Linked DNA regions of Alligator mississippiensis. The protein of the gene in region 2 purifies or fractionates together with the protein of the main gene of each other region. This does not show direct contact. Links are inferred from orthologs where the notes say so. Each region holds a gene or a part of one and is shown on either strand. Other genes may lie near its edges. The genes, in order: SPAG9, RCCD1 and KDM8.

Region 1 (7,703 bases), on a different chromosome or scaffold from region 2:
GGGATAAGTGCATCCAGCTCCATGACCCTGCAAGTTTGTAAAATCAGACATGCACCAATGGAGAATTTCTGCTTTAGGAGGACAGCTTAAATATGACGAGTCATTTTATTAAAGCCCCGTCAGTTAAATTATAAATGGCTCCTGTGGGTGTTATATCCCATAAACTAAAATAGTTTCTACCTGCAGACAAATGATACTCCGAAGGGTATGAAAGCATTTAGTGCTTTCAAGAATGATCCAAAAAGCAGAATGTGGACTTGTGACACAATTACTATGGAGTAACTGATGCTGGATTTTCCGGTGTGGTAAGGAACAGACTCAGGTTCGTTTCTCCGAAGCAAGCTGCCAGTAGTAGGTGCTATTAGAGCACCTGCCCACGAGGTGGTGAAGGGAGTCAGTTTGCATTAAACAAACAGCTACACCGGGGGAAATGACTGGGAAAAATTTATACTTTATACAGTTACTTATTTTCTGAGGGTAACTAAGTGGAGTGACTCCTGTACCTGTAAATTTACTCTATAGTAATTTAGTCTGTAGTAAGTGACTCATGAGTCTACATCCTACATGATTTGCTGTCAGTGCCTGTCACTAGTTACTTATTGATCAATACAAATGAGATTCAGAGACATCAGTACCAGCAGGAAAGACATTTAAACAGCACATATTGGTCTCTGATCTTCTTGAAGCAGCGACCTTCCCTCAAGAAGTGTATGGAAAATAACTAGCATATTGTGGTTGCGCTTATAATCAATCGATCAAAATCAAACCAATCAATCATCATCTCTACATCATTAAGTTCTCTGGGTATATTTAAAAACTATCTGCATACCGTTTTTCTGTAGTTTTGAGGCATTACAGACATTTGGTTCGCAGGATCAAGTCTTTGGTCAGGGGCTTTTCTCCCCCATGTAAGTCCAGAAAAGTCATTGTTCCACGCAGCTCAGTAATAAATGTTGATTCGATTCTTGATTTTTAGCTTCTGAGTTGTTTTTAACTGAATCTCATCTTCAGCCATAGCGATGGGTCAGGATTCCTGTGCACATCACGGAAAAGGCAGAATAGAGATGGAAACTATCTTTATTTTGTATTAAATTGGTAAACATTTAACAGTCATATGAAAAAAACTGTCCTCCAGAGATACTTCATCATCACAATGTTACTTTTATTTTCAGTCTGCCTCTTAACAGAATCCATATGTCTTTTCAATTAGGAAAGCCCTTACAAACCTTTAGCAAGTTATAATATGCCAGCAAGCTCTTAATGGGAAATGAGAGGATAAAAGAAGGATTTGTGGGATGCGCAATAAATGTACAGAACATACAGCTGAAGTGTGAAGGAGATGTCTCTGCTATACAACAGTGAACTGTTGATTGAGTCCAGCGTGTTTGTATACCACCTGAGATTTTTCAAGACAGACCTAACCCAAAGCCATGAATATGGACACCTGAAAAATATTTAGGAAATTGCAGATATGGACCCTAAATTCGTGGCTCTGGTCCCAAGTTTATCATGGTATGAGCTAAAACCCTATATATCTGTAACCCCAGGCAAGGGTAAAATTGCTGTCTGGTTCCAAGCTTCATAACTTAGTTTATATTTCTCTTTATAATTAGACTGAGAGAGCTGTGATGTGTAGCTGCACCAGCTTTGCATGTTGATGATTTGGTTATCATGACCACACCCTCTCATCTAGGGTGTATTTGATTTCTACTCAAATAATCTCCTCTGGGTAATGTCCCAGTTAAAATTTCATCCTAAACTCATTTGAGGCCTAATTTCCTTCTGCAGTATTTTTTTTTAAATCTATTTAATTTTCAAACAAACTGTCATTTCTAGGGATAGAGAAAATTTTGTATCTCACTACCTGGCAAACTCTCATTTTATCCGGTATTAATTCCTAAGGGCATGAATTGTACTTTTTCCTTTATTGGACACCACCTAGCATCTCAGAGTAACAGACAGGGCGCCTCCTACTCCTTAATGCTTAATTAGTTAACTAGGGGCACATCTACACATGCGCATTTAGTGCACAGTATAGCTATGTGTCTACATGTGCACGCCTGTACTGCACAGTAAATATGGTGACTTATGCTGACTTGAGCATAAATTTGATACCTGCATCATGCAGGTATCAAATTTACCCCCAGTTACTGCACAGTAATGCACATGTAGATGCCTTACTACGTAGTAACAGTGTGTGTGGATGGACTTGGGACTAATTTTAGTCCCAAGTCAGTCCACACACACAGTTACTAGACGTGCCCCTAGTAGTTTACTGCATAGTAAATTTAAGTCAGCGTAAATGCACGTGTAGACATGGCCTAGGGTGATCATTTATAAAAATTCCTTAATGTCTTAGCAAGCAACAAGGCTATGCATCCCTGTGGGTGGAAACATCTTTTTCTGTTTCTAATGATCAGCTTCCTGGCCACAACCAATTCAAAGGTACATATGACAAAATAGGAGCAGAGTGACAGGCCAGTAGGCAGGATATGATGAGCACCTACATAAATCCCCTTGCAACACATGCTTTCAGATTACAGTTTTTCTAAATGTGCTGATCCACGTAAGGAAACATCATCGGACTGGAAATAATACAGTCAGCAGACCATAGCCTATTAAAGCCATCCCCCTAGCTTGTAGGTTCCTGGGGAACCTCTGGCTGGATTGGAGTCCTAGTGGACTACCACAGCAATACGAAAGAAAGCCTCTCTGTTCTGTTTCTACTAACACTGCTGATGTAGAACAGATGGTCCTCAGAGAGCCCCCTCCTTTGATGGCTTTCAGCAAAGCACTGTGACCCATTTTTGCTGTCTGGCAATACATATGTGTCTGGAACTTCTGCATTTGCATTATTTGATGAAAATAATTGTCAATAAAATCCTACTTAGAGAAACTCAAACTTATCAACCTTTTCACCTTAGAGCCATCTCAGTTTGCTTACAATAATTCCTTTGTGAAAAAGGAAACGCTTCTTCTATATAAGGTTGCAAGGATGGAGTTAAAACCCCACCTCAGTCAGAAAGGTGCCTCTTCAAGACTGTCTGGATGATGGCATAATGGAGCCACTTTGCCGTCAGTGATATCCCTGCAAGGTTTAGTGAAGCCGTGTAGAAAATCCATGAGAAGTGGGTGTCACCACTGGTTTGAACAGCTGTGCAATGAGTAAAACGGTCACTTGAAGGATGAGAGAAATCCTGGAAGTCAGCTCCTCTCAACAGTCCCTTGCCAAGGAAATAGCAAAGGCAGAGAAACATAAGAAAGCTGCAGGTGATCTCTCCAGGGACAAAGACTAAAGAAAGACCATGTCTGATATGTATTCAAGGGTGTGATCCAACAGCTTAACTGAAAGTTTCATGTATGAAAAACATGCCAAATCAGACCTAAAATGGGATTACAACTGAAAATGTCATCTTGTTTTCCTCAGTTTGGGCTAGTAAACAGGTCAGCTGTGTGCCCCTGTACTTCCTAATTAACTCTCAGGCTCCTTTTTGGCTGGCCATACTTGTTTACGGTACTGGTTTAAGGAACATAACTCTTCTACATCTTCAAAACACTTGGCCACATTCTTTTCAATCTTGCACCTCCTCTAGTTTCCCTCTCTGCAGTCCCACCAGCTCGGTGGATTTAAACAAACGATGCAGACACATTTTAAGTTCAGTAACTGCCTCTGGATCAGGCCAAACAAAGGAAAGCGTAACGTAAGCTTCTGCTGCTCTCCAGTGGAAAATAACACAATTGCCGGTGGTAGATTGTCACTGCTCCATTCATTTGCCTTTTTAAACAGATTCTTCCCTAATCCCACGCTGGCAGGCAAGGTTCTTTGGGTAGATGTGATATCTTTTATTAGACCAACTGAGTAGTTGGGAAACAGTTCTCAGCAAGCTTTCGGGCACCATCACCCACTCTTGCACAAGATAACTGCATCACAGAGAAGTAGGACTGGAAGGGACTTCCTGAGGTCATCTATCCAAACCATCCCATACAAACCATCATCTATTCTAACCTCTCCATAAGAGGACCGTCAACCCTGACGGCACAGACCTAACCCCCTAAGCTGCCACACATGCAGCAGGGACATCGCAGCAGCCAGCGTCCTGCTTCTATGAAATGTTGTCCGTATACGCCCAGGAGATCCCGGGACTGGGCCAGTCCCATCCCTTTGTTACACCTCAGGAAGAAGCCGGGCTTTTTGTGCTCAGAGGCTGGCCAAGCCCCATGGGCGCAGCACGGGTCTGGGAGCCGTGAGCCCTTAAATCTAGTCCCAGGTCTGGCCGGTGACTCCGTTCGTCCCAAGCAAGGTTCCTGCGCCTCCTGTGAATGCTCCACGTGTCATCAGGAGGCGGCAGCAGCAGCGCAGGGCACGAGCCGTCCCTGCCCCGCGCCCCCAGCGCAGCCACCGGGCCAGGGCAGGGGGGCGGGGCCCGCAGGGCTCGGTGGCGTCACAATCGCCCGCGGTGTCCCAGGATTCCACGACGCGTCTCCCGCCCCGAGACATTCGCAAGAGCACCCCCGGCTCGCCCACCGACCCCGCCTCCTCCCCGGCTAAGCCCCGCCCCAGTGACGTCACGGCCCGCGCCCCTCCGCCCGTGACGCCACTGCCCCGCGCCCCGCCCTGGTGAGGTCAGTGCCGTGCGCCGCCGCCTCGCGCCCGGCCCCGCCCGCGCGGTAGGCGAGGCCCCGCCGCAGAGGGAGCAGGAGCTGCCGCCCGTCCCGTCCCGTCCCGTCCCGTCCCGCCGGAGCGAGGCAGCGCCGCGGCCATGGAGCTGGCGGACGGCGTGGTGTACCAGGAGGAGCCGGGCGGCCCGGGCCCCGCCATGATGTCGGAGCGGGTGTCGGGGCTGGCGGGCTCCATCTACCGCGAGTTCGAGCGCCTCATCGGGCGCTACGACGAGGAGGTGGTGGCCGAGCTGATGCCGCTCGTGGTGGCCGTGCTGGAGAACCTGGACTCGGTGTGCGCGCACAGCCAGGAGACCAGCGTGGAGCTGGAGCTCCTGCGCGACGACAACGAGCAGCTCCTCACGCAGTACGAGCGCGAGAAGGCGCTGCGCAAGCAGGCCGAGGAGGTGCGTGAGCCGCCCGCCCGCCCCGCCCCGCCTGCCTGCCTGCCTGCCTGCCCTGGGGCGGGGGACCGGCCCCCTCAGTCTCCCCTTCCTTGCCCCCCGCATTACCCCTCCCTTCCTTACCCCTCCCTTCATTATCCCCCCTCATTACCCCTTCCTTCATTGCCCCCCTCATTACCCCTCCCTTCATTGCCCCCCTCACTATTCCTCCTTTCATTGCCCTGCTCACTATCCCTCCATTCATTGCCCCCCTCATTACTCCTCCCTTCATTGCCCCCCTCATTATCCCCCCTCATTACCCCTCCCTTCATTTCCCCCCTCATTACCCCTCCCTTCATTTCCCCCCTCATTACCCCTCCCTTCATTGCCCCCCTCATTACTCCTCCCTTCATTGCCCCCCTCATTACTCCTCCCTTCATTGCCCCCCTCATTACTCCTCCCTTCATTGCCCCCCTCATTACCCCTCCCTTCATTGCCCCCCTCACTATCCCTCCCTTCATTGCCCCGCTCATTGTGCCCCCCCTTTATTGCCTCCCCAGGCAGTTTCCCTTGCAGCACCCTCTGGCAGCCCTGTGGCCTCCGCTGCCTCCCCTCCGGGTGCCCAAGCCACCCGGCCTCCTCCTAGCACTGGCAGAGAAGCCCCATGGCCCTTCCCGGTCCTTTCCCTCTTTCTCTTCCTGTGACTTTCGAGGTCGGCTCCCCTCGCCCCTCTCCTCGTCCTGGCTCCTCCACCCCACAGCTGGTTTCCTTCTCACTTAGCGATGCTGCTGGCAGGGCAGACCAGGGAGCCAGGCATTAAGGACTTCCCCAGCGCCCGCTTCCCCCTTCGGCAAATGCATGGAGGTTGAGGAGCTTGGGGGGACTTGGGGCTGTTACTTGTGAGTGGCCGGGGCGGCCGGCCTGGGACGTGGCGCTGCGTTGTGGCCTGGACAGAAGCAGCAAGGGTTTGTCCCTGTGGAAAGCTCAAGGGCCAGGGAATGGGACGCTTCAGCTGAGCAACAGGTAATGCAGGTTGCTCAAGACTGGTACTTGGCTGATGACAGTAAGCCGCCCGTGTGGGCGTTACAAGGTCATTCATTCAAATTCACATAGTCTTGGAGGGAGGAAAACAGGAAAGCTGCCCTTGCATCAGAACATCATCATTTTGTATTCTTACACTATCATTTGGGGCTTTAAATTTCTTTCTCCCAGGACACTGACTATGCCCATCTTTTTCCCTGAAGATTTTAGTCGAGTTTGCGTGTCCAAATCCATAAGAAGACTAATAGTCTCAGTGGAGATTCAGTGGCCAAATCTCCGAATCCAAATCGAATCGGAAGACCCTTTAATCGATTCAGAGAGATTTGGAAAGATTCGACAATTCAGCCATAGGCATAGCTTTAAATGTTTTTTTCCTACATACCTCGAGATACCAGGCGGGTCGTGAGTGCTGCGATGCTGGGGCGGGCAGAGTGTCTTGTAAGAGCGCAGGGGACTCCCCAGTGCGTTTGGCAGCAGACGTGGAAGTGAACCAGAAGCACTTCTGGGCCTGTCAGGGAGCATGCAGGGGGGCCCCCCCTGCGTCCTCCTCCAGCTCAATAACTAGTGCCTCCTGGGTCTGGGGGGCACACCTGGGGTCCCCCCAAACCCGATCACCAAGCTGTGGGGGGGGCCCCTGTGCACTCAGTACTTCCAGTCCGCTTCTGGGTTCGTTGCTGAGCATGCAGGGGTGCCTCCCCATGCTCCTGTGCGGGACGCTCCATCTGCCCCAGCATTGCAACGCTCACGAGTCAGGCCTGGTACCTCAAAGTATGTACAAAAAACATTTAAAGCTGCGTCTGTGGCTGAATCGCTGACTCCAAATCAGCATTGAATCTTTGGGTTTGGCCGAATCGAATCAGGGACAGCAGTCTGAATCAAGAAATTGAATCACTGTCCCCGATTCGGGTTGAATTTGAATTGAATACGGCCAGCTTTGCACACCCCTACAAAATATGATGCTATTAGTTGTATCAGTGCTCTTGGACTCTTGAGAAGTTGCAGATCTGTAGGTATTTCTGCAACTCTTGTGGTAACTTAATTGCTTCACGATCTATTTCTACCGATTTATTAACTGGACTAGATTTGCTGCCTAGTTGCTTCAGCAGAACTTGTTAGGAGTCTCAGAAACTATAACTAGCTTAGGGAATGGACATAACTTCTTTCCACCAATGTAATTTACAGCTGTTTGATACGTAGATATATGGCATACCCCGTTTAAAGTTATAGCCTGTCAACGGAGCTCCTTAAATATTGAATTCTGTCCTTGCTGTATCAGCACCCCTGAACCTGACTAAATACTGTCATTTTCAAGTCTTCTAATATCAGCCCCTTGATGGTTGCTTTCCCATTGTTGTGTCTGGTGCTAATTATGCAGTTAAACAGAGTATAATTACATCACCGAGTAGGTAGTTTTGTCTGAAAGGTTCTTTATGCTTCACTAGTGTAAGTACTTGGATGATATGCAGATAGCACAATGTCAAGCTCATGTTTTTCTTAAGCTAACCAGTAAAATGAATTTTACACTGATCCAGTATGCACAGAAGTGGAGTACACTGTTAAATGTACTGGGCTGCAGAGCAGTCTGACCTATGTGGTTATTTCCATGCAGTACACAGTCAT
Region 2 (7,657 bases):
ATTCGTATAAGGGCACGAGGGTGATCTCCATTTCGCTTACATTTCCCTTCTTTACAATGCCCAGCTTGTCACTGCTGCCCACTGAGCTGACATGTTGAAAGAGCTCTACAGTGACTCCAAGGTCTCCTTCCCGAGTCACTAGAGTTAGTTCAGGACCTCAGGCCGCGTACGTGGAGTTGAGGTTATTTTCCCTGCGTGCATTATATTGCACTTGTCGATGCTGAAGTTCATCTGCCGTCCTGTTGCCCGCTCGCTCAGCTCAGGGAGGTCTTTCTGCTCCTCTCCGTGAGCCTGGCCCTTGGCTACCCAGGATAATATGGTGCCATCTGCAAGCGTGGGGATTTTCCTGTGTACCCATTCACAGATCTTTACTGAACGTGCTGAACTCAATCAGGCCCAGTGCAGATCCCCCCCTTTTTGACCTCTTGATGTGAGACCTGCAGGAGGTTTTGTGTGGAGTCCCACGGTCTGTCCTGGGCCTAGCGCTGTTCAGCAGGCCTAGCAGTGATTTGGGTGCTGGAATAGAGAGCTTCCCAGGCAGGTCTGCAGGTGACCCCAAACCAGCACGTGCTGGGGACAGACGCGGCCTCCAGCAGGATCCCCACAGAGTGAGGCTGGGCTGGAGCCAGCGGGGTGAAGTGCAAGGCTGACAAATGCAGGGTGCTGCAGCTCGGCAAGAAGAAAGAAAAGCACAGACACGGATGGGAGGTGCGTGGTGCGGCGGAGAAGGATCCTGGGGTCACAGAATCACAGGAAAATCAGGCTAGAAGCACCTGCAGGTCGCCAGTCATGGCAGGATCATCCCAAAAAGTCCTTGTCTAACCTGGGGGTGACCAGCTGTGCTACAAGTGGCACTGGCAGTCTCTGTGCGCAGTGCATGGGAGATGGACGGGACAGGCAGCAGATGGTGTAAGGGAGCAGAAAGCAGAGCATCGGATTGGGCAAGGAGCTGATGGTAGAGCAGCAGATCAGGCTGGGAACACGGCAGGGAGCAGGAAGTGGAGCAGCAGATCGGGCAGGGGAGAGGTTCGGAGTGGCACTCGGGGTGGGGGCAAGACTTCCTTTGTGGTCCCCCCACCAGGAAACCTGGCCTGTTCCTAAAGCTCCACCAACGGGCCCGTGCCACGCAGCTCCCAGGCCCGTTGTCCCGACACCAAAAGCACCGTGACCTGTGACAGGTGAAGCGGGAGTGCTGGGAGCACCCTGCTGCTGCAAGGGGTGTCAAAATGTGCTCAAGAGACTCAAGGAAGAGGCCGTGCCCCTGCTACGGAGGAAGGCAAAACCCCACATCCGTCCCTCTGACCACGAGGCTGGGTGCTGCAAGTTCATGCCGTGGCTGCGCGTCCCGCTCCCTGCGGCGATGGGGGAAAGGTGCTCTCCTGGCCTCTGGCAGCCCTCGGGGGCATGCGGGCCACTGTCCTGTCCCTTCACAAACCGTCTTTCCTGCACGCTGACCGTACTTAGTTGGTTCTCTCAACCTCTCCCAAAAACGAGGAGCCCCGAGCTGCTGGCAGTCCTCTAGATGTGTGCTGGGCACGGAGACGGCGTCGCCTCCCGTGTCCTGTTGATGCAGCCTGGAACCACGTTCGGCGTTCTGCTGCTGTGCCGCGTTGCAGGTTCACGTGGAGTCTGACCCGCCGGGAGGATGTGAAAGTGATGGGAAGCTTGGGAGGAAGCAGACACGAGGGGAAGTCACGATCCCAAGACAGGGAAGCGGGAAGTCAGCAGGACTGACGTGTAAGGTTGCCAAAAGGCGGATTTCACCCAGCTCCAGGAGTCCGTGGGCAGGTGCCAGGGGGCGACCCACGGAGGAATTGGCCCAGGCGGGCTGGGCGATAACAGAAGAGATGGTCAGAGCTTCTGATGATGGGAGACGGGCCATGTAACCGAGGACTGGAAAAGGGCCAACGTAGCGTCCCTCTAAACAAGGGAGAAAGGACCCGGGGACCTACAGACCGGGTAGCCTCAGCTCTGTCCTGGGAAGTTACTGGAGCAGATCCTAAGGAAGACCATGTGCAAGCGCCTGGAGGAGGAAGCTGATCGCAGGCAGCCAGCAGGGATTATGAAACACATCATGGGAAGCCCGATCTCCTTCTTTGGCAAAGTGCGTGCTTGGCTGGACGAGGGGAATGCTGCGGGTGTTGTATCTGGACGGCAGCAAGGCTTGTGCCGAGGCCCCGCGTGATCTCCCTTCTCATAAACAAATTGGAGACGTGTGGGCTGGATAAACTACCACAAGGTGGGGGGAAACCTGGCTCAATAGCCCAAGCAAAGGGTAATTATTAACGGGTCCGCGTCACAATGGCAGGAGGTTTCGAGTGGAGTCCCACAGGGTCTGTCTTGGGTGCTGGCAGAGGAAGCTTCTTGAGCAAGTTTGCAGATGACAAAACAGAAGGATTGTGAACAGCCTGGAGGATGTGAGCACAGCTCAGAGGGATCTCGACAGACGGGAAAGCCGGGCTGGAGCAACAGGACGAAGCTCAGCGCGGACAAATGCAAGGTGCTGCGCACAGGAGAAATAATCCAAAACACCGATACAAACGGGGGGACGTCCGGCCAGATGGCAGCTCTGTGGAAAAGGACCTGGGGGTCCCAGTAGAGCACGGACTTGACGGGGTTGGCAGGGTGGTGCAGCCGCACACAAGGCGGATGCAGTTTTGGGCTGTGCCAATAGACGCGTGAGGCACAAGACGAGGTGATGGTCAGGAATCTGCGTGCAGCTCCGGGCCCTGCGTTTGGAGGCAGTTTCTAGAGGCAGCAACACGTGATCAAGGCTTGGAAAGCAGTCGCGTGCGGAGAGGCTGAAGGAGCTGGGCGTGTTCAGCTTGCAGAAAAGGCACTTCGGAGGCCGTGGCAGCAGCGTGCAGACACGTGCAGGGCTGCCCTGAACGGGAGGAAGAACCGCTGGGTTTTCCTGTTGCAGCAGGGAGCAGTGCATGGGCCAACGGCTTGACGCTGCAGCAAAGGAGGTTTGGATTGAAGCCCAGGAACGGTTGTTCGCTGTCAGAGCGGGGAGGCCGCGGGAGAGACACCCAGGGAGGCTGCAGACTCTCTGCTGGGGGTGTCGAGGAGAGGCTGGGCAACCGCCGGGCAGGCATGACGAGGCGTAGCGATGCCTGGAGCGAGCTGTGAAGAGCGGCACGCACCCAGGCGGCTGGATCAGACCTCAGCGTGGAGGAGCGGGTGGAGGCTGGAGGGACCGTGCTCAGCAGCAGCCGAGCAAAGCAGAGCCCCACACCGGGCCTGGGCAGGAACGATGGAAGCAGCTGGGCCAGGCCGGGGGCGACGCCTGGGGCTGCAGCGTTGACATTAGGAAGAACTTCTTCCCAGTTCGAGTGGCCAAGGTCTGGAACGGGCTCCCAAGGGAGGTGGTGCTCTCCCCTACCCTGGGGGTCTTCAAGAGGAGGTTAGATGAGTATCCAGCTGGGGTCATCTAGACCCAGCACTCTTTCCTGCCTGTGCAGGGGGTCGGACTTGATGATCTATTGAGGTCCCTTCCGACCCTGACATCTATGAATGCCCCTCTGGGCTCCCGGCTGTGCTGCCCCATGGGGCCGCGCGGGGCTTTTCCCACTCCTGGTGCTGCGCGGTCCAGGGGTGTGGTGCCTTCCCGAACTTCGGTGCTGGGGCTGGGCGTGGGGACGGGCTCGGCCAGCGCTCCTGCTGGGGCCGAAGCCCGCGGGCCCGGCGAGGAGCTCACCCCCGCACTCGGGCTCAGGGCGACGCTGCGGTCGGGGCAGGAAGGCAGATCGGCACCGACGGGGTTCCCGTCCGGGGCCGCAGGAGACGCGGCTCTGCCGGGGTCTCGGGCCTGCGTCTGAGCCGCTGCCCCTGCCCCGCGGCGGCCGGGCGCTGCCTTCGCCCCGGGCCGGTCGGTCGGTGGGTGGGTGGTGCGGGGCGGTGCGGGGCCGGGGTGACGGCGGTGCTCGCGCTGCAGGTGCAGGACCTGTTCCTGGCCGAGGGCAGCGACCGGCTGAAGCTGCTGGTGCTCTACAGCGGCGAGGACGACGAGAAGCTGCGGCGGGCGGCGGCGGGCGCGCTGGCCATGCTCACCTCGGTGCAGCCCCAGGTCTGCCGCAGGATCCCGCAAGTGGTGAGCGGGGCGGGGGGGCCGGGCGGGGCGGGGCGGGGGGGGGGCAGGGAGCAGGCCGGCGTGCCCGCCCCCCCGGCCCGCCCAGCACGCGCTGCGCTGTCCCCGCAGACGGAGCACTGGCTGGAGGTGCTGCAGGCCTTGCTGCTGAGCGACAGCGCCGAGCTGCAGCACCGCGGCGCCGTGGTGGCGCGGAACATGGTGGCGGCCGACCGCGACGTGGCGGCGCGGCTGGTGGCGAGCGAGGCGCTGGAGATCCTGGCCGTGCTGGCCGAGCAGCACGAGGACAAGCCGCGCGTGGCCCGCGCCGCGCAGGACAGCCTGGCGCGCGCCGTGGCCTACGGCCTCATCCAGCCCCACCCGCAGCGCCCCTGAGCCGCGCCCGCCGCGCCCACGCGGGGGCGCCACCGCGCACGGGAGGCGGGGCGATGCCGCTGCGCCAATACAGCACTTTGCACCCAGCGCGGCCTCCGTCTCTTCCTGCGGGTTGCCGTGGCAGCGCGGGGTGGGGCGGGGCGGGAGGCCGGAAGTCCCGCCCACCGGGCTCCGCGCGCGCCGATTGGCCGGGGCGATGGCGGCGCCGGGCGCCTGGTTCGTCTTCGGCTTCGAGGGCGCGGACGAGCCCCCGCGCGGCCCCGACACCGGCACGGCCGCCCCGCGCGCGCTCCCGCTCCCCCCCGGCGGCGTGCGCGCGCTGCGGCCCGGCTGGGACTGCGTCGTGATCGTCACCGGTGAGCGTGCCCCGGTGCCTCCCCCTCCCCCCTTCCTCGGGCTGGGGCTGCGCCGTGATCGTCCCCGGTGAGCGTGCCCCGGCCCTGACCCCCCCCCCCCCCGCCCCCCCTCCAGGCTCGGGCGCGGCGGTGCTGCGGGGGGGCGCGGGGGCGGCGCTGCCGGGCGGCTGCCGGGACGCGGTGCCGGGGGAGGGCCACGTGCTGCTGGTGCTGGAGGCGGCGCTGGAGGCGCGCTCGTGGGCGGCGCTGCGCGGGGCCGGGGCCGGGGCGGAGGAGCGCGCCCCCGCCTGGCGCCGCCCGCTGCCGCCGGCCGCGCCCGCCCCGGCGCTGCCGCTCGTGCCCGGGGGCTTCGCGGCGCCGCGCGCCCCCTTCTTCTGGCCGCTGCCCGCGCGCCTGCGCGCCCGGCGCCTGGCGCTGGGGCTGGAGCACGCGCTGCTGCTGGGCGCCGCCGGCCTCGTCTACACCTGGGGCAGCAGCCGGTGAGTGCGGGGCTGGTGGACCGGGGTCGGGCCGGGGCCGGGCCCGCGGGTCTGACGGCCGCGTCCCGCAGGCACGGGCAGCTGGGCCACGGCGGGCTGCAGGCGGAGCAGGAGCCGCGCGTGCTGGAGGCGCTGCAGGGGCTGCCCGTGGCCGACGTGGCGGCGGGCGGGTGGCACTCGGCCTGCGTGAGCGGTAGGTACGGGCCCTCCCCGGCGCGGGGGCAGCCGCGGCCGCAGCCACACGGCCGCCCTCTCGCTGTCCCGGCAGACGCGGGCGACCTGTACGTGTGGGGCTGGAACGCGTCCGGGCAGCTGGCGCTGCCGTGCAAGGCTCTGGCGAGGGAGCGCCGCGCCGCGGCCGACGGGCCCCCTGGTGCGGGGGCGGCTGCAGGTGAGGACCCCGCGGGGACGGCGCTGCGGGGCTGAGCGCAGGGCGGGAGGCATCGGCGCGGGGCAAAGCCCCAGCCCCAGCCCGAGGCAGGGTCCGGCTGTAGGAAAGGCAGGACTGCGGCAGCCGACGTCCTGCTTCTAGGAGCGTCCCCGGTGCGCGCGGGACCCGCTGGGCCGAGCCCGCGCCCTTGCTGCAGACAAAGGCAAGCGCTGCCCCAGGGTCGGCTACAGTAACATTCACTCCTGACCCCACGTACGGCCACCGGCCTGCCCCCGGGCGCAGGGGCAAGGCCCTCCCGCCTGCACCCTCCGGCGTTCGTCCCAGCAGCAGAATCGGCGCGCCCCGTTGCTGTCCCTCGCCTTGGCTGTAGCCAGCACCCGGTGCCTCCGGGGAGGCAGACGATAAGTAAGGGGCGCAGATGGAACAAGCACAAACCAGAGGGAGACCCAAGCGGAGAACAGGCATCGCCAGGCCTGCCCGGCTCGCTCCTGCCCCCTGGCCGCCCAGCCTCTTCTTGAACACCTCCAGGGATGGAGCCCGCCCCTGCCTGGGCATCCCCCACAACCTCCCTGCTCTGACGGGGGCGAAGCGTTTCCAGGCATCCAAACTAAATTTATTTTGTTGCACCTTCAAGCCACGGGTCGGCACCTGCGGCAGGAGAGCAAAGGGGCTTTCCCTGTCCTTCAGGGCAGCTCTGCACGGACTGCTCTTGACCACACGTTAGTGTCTTTCGCACACGGTGAACGTGCCCAGCTCCCTCAGCCTCTCCTAGGATTTGCTTTCCAAGCCCTCGATCATCTCTGCTGCTGCCTCTGGACCCTCAGGAGGCCAACACTGTGTACCTTGACTTCCAAAAGGGCTGTGATCTGGTTTCCTACCCCGTTCTCGTGAAAAACTTGGAGAACTGTGGGCTTAACTGTGAGACAGGCGGGTGGGTCGGGAGCTGGCTGTGGGGTAGGAACAGATCTGTGTCGTCTTGGCAAGAAGAGGGCAGAAGCGTCCCGCAGGGGTCGGTGCTTGGTCCAGTGCTTTTCAACATCTTTGTTAAGGATTTGGATGTGGGGGTGAAGAGCGCGCTGGCCAAGTTCATGGACAACACCAAGTTATGGGGAACACGGTCCCACTTGAAGATAGGTTATAGATCCAGGCGGACCTAGACAGGCTGGCAGATTGGGCAGACTGGAACCTGCTGAAGTACAGCGCTGAGAAACGTGAAGTGCTCACCTGGTGATGAGCAACCCCCAACACACCTGCAGGCTTGACAGCACCAGCTGGCTAGCACCACGAATGAAAGGGACCTAGGGGTAATAATAGACCACGTATGACCATGAGCCGGCAGCGCGAGGCTGTAGCCAGCCGGGCAAAAGCACCATGGCAGGCATCAACCATTGCATCTCCAGCAAAACCAAGGTGATGCTTTTGCTCTGCTCAGCACTGGCGAGACCGCAGCTGGAGGACTGCGTCCAGTTCTGGGTGCTGCACGTCAGCAAGGACGTGGAAAAGCTTGAGAGAGTGCAGAGAAGAGGCACCCGTCTGAGCAGAGTTGTACACGGCGAGCCATCCGAGGAAAGCTGAGGGCCCTGGGACTCTTCAGCCTGAATAAGAGACGGCTGAGGGGGACTTGGTAGCAGCTTCCCGCTGTATGTGGGGAATATGTCAACAGCTGTTCACCAGGGTACATGGGGGAGAAACCAGGAGCAACGCTCACAAACTCCTGGAAGACTATTTTAGGCTCAGCATCAGGAAAAACTTCGTAGTGAGGGTGTCCAGACTGTGCGATAAGCTCCCTCCAGAGGGGTGCAGTCGCCTACCCTGGAAACATTCGAGAGACGGCGGGCACCTGCCCCGTTGTCTTTCCTGCCTGGTGCAGGGGGCTGGACCCGGTGATCTTCCGAGGTCCCTTCCAGCCTCCGTCTATGAATGGTGGAAAGGACGTGGAGGAGTTGAAAGGCAGAGACCAGACCTG
Region 3 (7,478 bases), on a different chromosome or scaffold from region 2:
GGTAAGTTTGCCCACACACAACTTTCTGCTCCTGCAGCCAGGCAGCACCCTGCGCCCATGCCAGCAGGCTCGGGCGCCTCTACACCACTGTGCAGTCTGCAATGCAAATATACCTCAATAGGATCCTCCAACAAGAAGGCGAAGGAACCAGGAAGCGTCTCAGCTGACATCCACAGTACAGACTGCTGTCACCAGTCAGCTCTCGTTTCTTCACTGCCCATGACTGACATGCAGTAATATTGGAGCTTATAGTCTTAGAACTCATAAAGCCCCACACATCCACCGGAGGAATAATACTGCTGGCTATGGGGTTGGCCTGATGCTCCTGACCTGCAGAAGACCCTGCTGTTCCAGGGTCAGGCCACATAAAAACAGACGCTAGCTAGGGCAAAGAAAAATCCAAATGATCTTTCAATAGGAGAACATCCCCATTTTGCCTGCAACAGCACCAGAGCTACGCAGGAGAGCTGAGGTCTCTACAACTGCACGGCTATCTTTTTCATAACAACCCTAACAGTGGTGAGGAGAAGAGTTTGGTTTCTAGTCACACCAGCATCTCTGTTGCAGAGATGCAAATGCACGCACACACAGAAAGCAGGTCCACTGTAGAGACTGCAATGAATATTCATCGCATGAGCCTCCTGACCGACTCTGTGCAATGTTCAAAACCACCCGAGCTGTAAATCCCCCCGTGGGCAGCCCCACTCCACCCCTCATAGAGGCAGAGTAATGGGCATGTGTAGCACAGTACTCCCCAGCACGCGACTGGTGCTATGTCTGGCTCTTGGAAAATCTCCCCAACCTTCTGATGCTGCACGTTCAGGCCTGAACAAGGAGCAAGCAGTCACGGCTGCAACCAGCCTGAAAATGTGACTGGCACAGTAATCCATAGACCTGTTTATAAACCCGAAGCTCGCTCAAGACCCCCTACGAGCAGCTACCTGTTCTAATAAGCTCTGGCCAGACCACCAAGGGAGAAATCCTTCAGTCCATTAGGACACTGCCGCGTTTGTGGAGATAAAACCACGTGGAAACAACAGACCTTGTTCACAATATACTGACTGATGAAGTCATCCACAGTCATGAGTTCCTGAGACCATTCTTCATCTGTGTATCGCAAACCTAGCTCCACGGGGACTGTGCGCCACCCAGCAATTTCACGGAGGTAATCCACACTGGAACAAAGCAGGTTCATTACATTTAGATTTCATTTAACATCTTTGTTTTTATCGAGTTTAAATGTAGATAGGAAATCAGGTTTCTGAGGGGGGTTTATGCAGTGCTAGTGTTCAACGCACAAGGCAGCTACCTTGGATAGTTTAACCCTTAGGAGGAACACGGGAACATGCCGACTATTCCAGCAGCAGGCCACCGTGCCCCCAGCAAGGCTAAGGATGCAGACAGCAAGGGCCCACGCGGGCGCACGCACCTGCACCGAAATGCTACAAGCTGTATTCATTTTTGAAAAATGTGTTGCCAATTTAGAAGAGCTGGTCTGAACAACGAGCAGCCGTTTAGTCAATGGACCTGGCTTCTCCCTGTACTTATGAAACACCAGCAACCAGATGGTTTCCTCAAGTCCGAGGGGTTTTTGTTTTGCAAGTGTTACCCTGTGTATTCATCATGAACATTTCGCTACACGGATGCAACACTCAACATGTGAAAGTTTAGTTGTGAGTGGTCTGATGAGCTGCACGGTGTTACTTCTACCTTACAACTGGGAAAGTTTCACTGAATGTGGCTGCAACATTTGCATTTTTGAATGAAAAAAGTGGTTTCTAATATTACTTGTACATACAGCTTTGAAACTGAAATTCATGTCAAATATTAGTAAGTCATGTTCACAAGAATACCTAAATAAGTAACGGTCATGGATGTGGCTGAGAAAATTGAGCCATACGCCCACCGAGTCCCGGGCGCTATACACGCAGCTCCCGTTTACAATTAAACACTAAACCACTAACATTTGCACCAGGAAACTCCCTGCACCGGCTCCTGCAGGGATGGCCTGGATGCACAATGTGCTCCAACATCCGACTTCTACATCCTGCGATTAGCAACGCCTGAGCTATTAGGATGCGGTTTAGCAACTTGCATCTGTCACGCTGGAGTCCCGTTAGCAACGGGAAACCCAGCACGCGGCGTGGGAAGACGTTACTTCCCGCGCGTCACGGGAGTCAGTGCCGCACCTCGTTCCTCGGGGAGCCGGGCGAGCTGGGGCAGGGGCACGAAGCGCACCTACGGAGGACGAGCTCCACTTGCTCACCTCCACTTCCTCATACACGGCCAGTGGTCAACGACCCCCTCCAACACCACGGGCTTCTGCGGGATGAAATGGCTCTCCCTGAAACGCTCCAGAGACGGGCAGCGGAGCCGCGGGACGGCAGGCTCCGACGCCAGCTCCGGGGCCGCGCCGGCGTCGCTCCGCATCCTCTGCAACGAGACCCCGGGTCAGCACCCCCCGGCGCACCGACCAGGCACCGGCAAGCGCGGCCCGGGGGCCCCGTGCGGCCTGCCAGCAGCGCAGACATTTAACGTTTCTCTGCCCGGGCGGCCCGGCAGGCGGGTACCTTGGGGGGCGGCGGCGGCGGGGCGGGGGCGCGGGCGCGGGGCAGGCGGCGCTGCAGCAGGCGCGCGAGGCGGGCGAGGGCCCCGTCGAGGACGGCGGCGCCCAGCAGCAGGCCGCGGTCGCAGGCGCGCAGGGCGCGGGCGGGCTGGCCCAGCAGCGCGAGCGCGCGGAAGAGGCAGGCGAGGGCGAAGGCGCGGCGCCAGCCCGGCTCCACGTCCCGCCACGCGCGCGCCTGCAGCCGCTCCCACGCGTAGTCCGCCGCCGCCCCGGCCGCGCGCCCCAGCGCCTCCAGCTCCCGCGCGCGCGGCGGCCCGGCCCGCGGCGCCCCGCCCTCGTACACCAGCGCCCGCGCGCGCTGCAGCAGCGCCAGCACCGGGCCCGCCTCCGCCTCCAGCGCCCCCAGCGCCGCCGCCACGTCCGCCTCCGCCCCCGGCAGCACCGCCCGCGCCTCCCCCCACAGCGCCGCCGCCGCCGCCTCCGCGCCCGCCATCCCACGTGCGCCGGAACCCGGAAGCGCCAGACTCCCGCCCGCCACGCCCCTTCCGGAAGTACCGCGCCGCCGCGCCGCCACGCCCCCCGCGCCTGGCCACGCCCCTCCCGCCGCCCATTTAAGCCCGCCCTCTGCTGCGCGCGCGTCATTAGCGGGGCGGGAGCACGTCGGGGCGGGCGCGCCAGCGGCGTGAAGTGCACGTGCACGCACCGAGAGAGAGAAATAGAAATACATAAATAGCTAGACAGACAGACAGACAGACAGACAGAGGCAGGCATAGAGAGATACCGATATCGATCTAGCGCTACAGAAAGGGGCTGTGGCGGGAGCTTCTGTGCGCACACACACCACACCACACCGCGTGCCTCGCACCAGACCCTTCATGTGGGCCGCGGGCGGGAGCGGGGCTCAGCGCGCAGTGCTGCCTCCGCGGGAGCGGGGCTGTCCCTGGCGGTGCTCCGGCCCGGGCCGCGGGGCCCGACCTGCTCTTTGCCTCCTGCGCCCTTTGGCCTTTGCAAACACTTCCCTCCTTCAGTCTCTCTCTAAGCCGAAAACCCGGTGCCACGTGCGTCTCCTCAGGGAAGTTGCGCACTTGGTCCCACCAGGGTTTCCGACATCCCCGGGGTTGTCCCTTGCCCCTGATGCGGGACAGGCGGCCTGGACGGACGAGTGCGGGCACTGTTGCGACGCCTCATGTCCCGTTGCTCCCTGTATCTCTCCCTGGGCGAAGGCCGCGCCGCACGTTGCAGCTCCTGCCCGGTCGCTTCCCGTCGCCCGCGGGACGTTGCGGACGGGACCTGGCACGTCTAGAGATGCCCCAGAGCCGCCCCGACCGGCGTGGTTCCCAGTTTACTTCTCTGTTTATATTTCTTCTGTCAGTTTTGAGTCCTCACCTCTGCGCAATGTGCAAGCTGAGTCCAATTAGTTTTTCTATTAAGATTTTATGAGGCAGGTCTCGAATCCTTCGCTAACGTCCAAATATATTACATTTAACTGTGAGCCTTTCATCCATTAATTTTTGTAATACTACAAGGGGGGAAAAAGCAATCACGCTTGTCTGGCGAGATTTATATTTTATAACCTCCCAGCGTTGTTTATGCTTCATGGGTTTTTACCTTTCAGATATTTAGTGAGTTTTTAAAAATAATACATCTCCCGTTACTTTGCTAAAGCGGCGTTCGAGTTAACAAGGCAACGAGGGGGCGTTTGACAAGACGCTTCCTTCTCGCTTTGAACATGCTGCGTTTTCGTACTGCCGTTCGATGGCGCCTCCCCAGCTCGCGCCTTCTTAGAAACGACGGGCAAAACGAGCGAACATGCGAAGCGTGTCAGAAAACATGGTTTTCGTAGATTGATTGGTAGGCCGGGAGGGACCTGGGGAGGCGGTTGTGTCCAGGCCCCGGCACCAGGCAGGAAAGGCAGCTTGGCTGATGTAACCGCGTCGCGCTTCCGAGCCCCCCCGCGCACCCTGCGTCCATCCGTATTTTTGCTGGGATTGTGACTCTTCAAAGCTCCCTTTTCCCATTGAAGCATCCTGCGTTGTCACCTTCACCTGTGGGAATTTGTTTAAACCATTTTACCAAAGACGCCGTCTCCTTCTGTGGCTGCCCAAGTTTTTCTTCACATCTGTCCTGCCAGTATCTCTGCTTGGTTGCTTTGGGGTTTTTTCCGCGTGTAATCCACTCAGGCCTTATCTCATTTTACTCGGATTGACTGCTCGGGGTTCAGGGGCGTTAATGGCTGTGAGGCAGTCACCGTCATCGTGGAGGGGTTTTGAGAGAGCAATACGAAGTAGTGGGGTCAGGGCTAAGAAATGCCGGTCGAGCTGTTCCGGTTCTCGGGCGGGAAGAGACGGGTGCGATACAGGTCTGCCCTGATGGGCGTCTCGATGTTTAGGAGAAGCGTCTGGGTTTGGCCCTGATGCAAGCGAATCCTGGCCTCCCCTGACCCCGGGAGGAGCACGGTGTGTGCTAGGACTGAGGTCATTACGGGTTTGTCTTGCACCTGCCTGACAGTATTTCCTAATGAGAGGTGTAGCTCTATAACGTATTATCTTCAAACATCTATTTTATGGCCAACTGCAGCACAGGAGTGGAGAACTAAACCTGTTGTAGTCAGAACAATAAACATGTATTATTTATCCGTATGGATCTTGGATTCGCAGCTGCCAGCGTGCATTACGTGGTGGTGGGACGTCGGAGAGCCAGGGCTCTTAGCCAATTTGCGCCAGCCATGGAGAGGCTAATGGATTTTTTCTTTACAACTTTACAAAAAGCTAGGTGGAATTATTTAGGAGCATAATTTTTCCTGTGTCCATTAGGAATGTTACATAGCCATTTACAAATTACTTTTGAAAGCTTCAATTTTGTGTGAAAAACAACTTGTTCAGGTTGTTAACATTTAACATTCAAGTTAAAATGGCTTAAAATGCTAACTAAGGATTATTTTCATTTCCATGTTTTATTTTTAGGGAAAAAGATGAAGTTTTAATGATGGGTTTTGTCTAGAACCATTTGTTTTTAACCACATTACTGGTGTGAGCAACTTGTTTCTGAAAGCTGCAAAATTGGCCATTAGTCTGTGCAAACACAATATAAGGGGGTTTTAGGCTTTGCGAAAGGACATTGAACGTAAAACTATAATTTAGCAACAAAGGCCGTTTGCTGCTGTTGCAGGAAAGCTGAAGCTAAGCAATGTATATCGGATGTGGAAACCGTTAGGCCTTACGTACCAGTGGCTGCCTGCACCTCGCCCAGAAAGACTTAGAGATAGGCCAGGAAAGGAGAGAGAAGTGCGTCAGGTCCCTGACGAACTTTCCTCTTCTGTATCGCGTCAGAGCATCGGCACGGTCCGCTGGCCCCGGCTGTCCAATCGCTCTCGGTCCCAGGCCCTGCAGGCATCCTTGCTCCCTTGGACTCACCGTAACGTTCAGTTCAACACACGATGAGCTCTCTTTCTTTTCTCTCAGTATATATGAAACAGGTTAGAAAACACAGCAAACACCGCTCTTTTGCCATGGTCCCTGCGGGGTGCTCAGCACCCGCTGGACAGGCTGTACGCGGGGGCAGTCCCTGGGGGAGCTGGGTTACAACCACGCTGCAGCTGCACGCGTCTCCACCTCCCTCGCGCCACGGTACCTATTCTAGCATATAACACACCACCACTGGGAAAACCAAATATTTGCTAAGTGAACAAGGTATGTTTTCTGTTAAAAAAATAATATGTGGGGTAACAAGCCAGCACTTTGTACTGTAAATAATAGGAGAGCGGTTGCAGCAGAGATTGCGGGGTGGAACTGACAATTTCCCGCAATGTCATTAAACCCATCTGAGGGGAACGGTTTCTACGGTGGATTTGTTCTTGGAAGACAGCAGCCTGTCTTGTTGTTGGAGCAAAAGACGGGTGGACTCCATCCCTAGACCACCGCTGACCTCCATTTCAGCACGGAAACTGCTACAGCAACAACTGAAAGAAAATGCTTTGCAAATACGAGGTGTGTGCTGAGCTGGATTTAACCACAGAAAACCGATAGAAGTCTCATATCTGTCAGCTGACTGACCAGATTAACCCTCGTCCCTAGGAGTTTGCTTGCAAAACCATTGTCACACTCATGCAGGGCGTTAGCTGTATTCTCCCACCCGTAGCAAAGGCCCCAGCGCTGACCACAGTGTTGTACAGTGACAAACTCCTGCTCAGCTAAAGGGAAAGGGGGCTTGCATAGCAGCCGTGTGTAATGTGTGATGTTAAGCAAAGCACAGTCTGCAGTGGAGACAGCACTTTGTCTGCTGAAGGAATCGCACGTTCAAAACTGCATGCTTAGAGGCACAAGTATCAAGGCAGGGCTTGATATGGGGTATCTGCTCGTGTGTACTTTCTTTGAGACGTTTCCACCTAGTACCATTTTGTTCTGAGCCAAGCCTTTCCACTGATTTAATCTGACCCATAATCTGAAGGTGTTGAGAAAACTTTCTGCTAAAAATCATCACGCGATACGGCTTTTAGCAGATGAGAAGAGGGGCTGACGGGGTTTGAGACTAGCACGCTGGCACAGCTAGCACCCTTTATGTAAGGATACTCCTCGGGGGTGGCAGCATGGTGGGCGCTGCGGGATGACGGAGACGCCTCAGAGCATCTCAGAGATGGAGCTCTTGTTTGGGCTGTTCTTTTGTTTTTGGAGTTGTTTTCTTTGCTGCTTTTCTTCCTGTGGCCTCAGCAGCTACTAGGGAGATTACCATAATTTACTCAGACTGATTTTATATTTTTTCACTCCAGATTTTCATTAAGTCTTTGATCAGGGACTGAATAAGGAGAGACCTGTATTCTTTCAAAACACAGTGTAAATCAGGTGAAGTACAATAAGAACAAAGGCAAAGTGCTGTGCTTAGGACTGAACAATCAAATGCCCAGATATAAATTGGA

What was found.
Region 1: the proteins of RCCD1 (region 2) and SPAG9 purify together in Homo sapiens (affinity purification with mass spectrometry; 3 studies listed by BioGRID and IntAct, counting the BioPlex papers as one, with this or other methods). This does not show direct contact. The link is inferred for Alligator mississippiensis from reciprocal best matches to the Homo sapiens genes RCCD1 and SPAG9.
Region 3: the proteins of RCCD1 (region 2) and KDM8 purify together in Homo sapiens (co-immunoprecipitation; 3 studies listed by BioGRID and IntAct, counting the BioPlex papers as one, with this or other methods). This does not show direct contact. The link is inferred for Alligator mississippiensis from reciprocal best matches to the Homo sapiens genes RCCD1 and KDM8.

The regions. Positions count from the first base shown.
Region 1 is NC_081831.1:10,431,702-10,439,404, forward strand, and holds the start of SPAG9 (C-Jun-amino-terminal kinase-interacting protein 4), read left to right. Parts: upstream 1-4,643; 5' UTR 4,644-4,760; coding exon 4,761-5,066; intron 5,067-7,703. UniProt on the Homo sapiens protein: The JNK-interacting protein (JIP) group of scaffold proteins selectively mediates JNK signaling by aggregating specific components of the MAPK cascade to form a functional JNK signaling module.
Region 2 is NC_081834.1:798,605-806,261, forward strand, and holds the start of RCCD1 (RCC1 domain-containing protein 1), read left to right. Parts: upstream 1-4,578; 5' UTR 4,579-4,661; coding exon 4,662-4,821; intron 4,822-4,936; coding exon 4,937-5,300; intron 5,301-5,371; coding exon 5,372-5,691; intron 5,692-5,832; coding exon of another isoform or gene 5,833-5,924; exon of another isoform or gene 5,925-6,022; intron 6,023-7,657. Other genes in the region: UNC45A (protein unc-45 homolog A), read left to right, coding at 3,938-4,093, 4,202-4,465. UniProt on the Homo sapiens protein: Plays a role in transcriptional repression of satellite repeats, possibly by regulating H3K36 methylation levels in centromeric regions together with KDM8.
Region 3 is NC_081836.1:59,275,219-59,282,696, reverse strand, and holds the start of KDM8 (bifunctional peptidase and arginyl-hydroxylase JMJD5), read right to left. Parts: upstream 3,084-7,478; 5' UTR 3,060-3,083; coding exon 2,571-3,059; intron 2,434-2,570; coding exon 2,267-2,433; intron 1,176-2,266; coding exon 1,043-1,175; intron 1-1,042. UniProt on the Homo sapiens protein: Bifunctional enzyme that acts both as an endopeptidase and 2-oxoglutarate-dependent monooxygenase.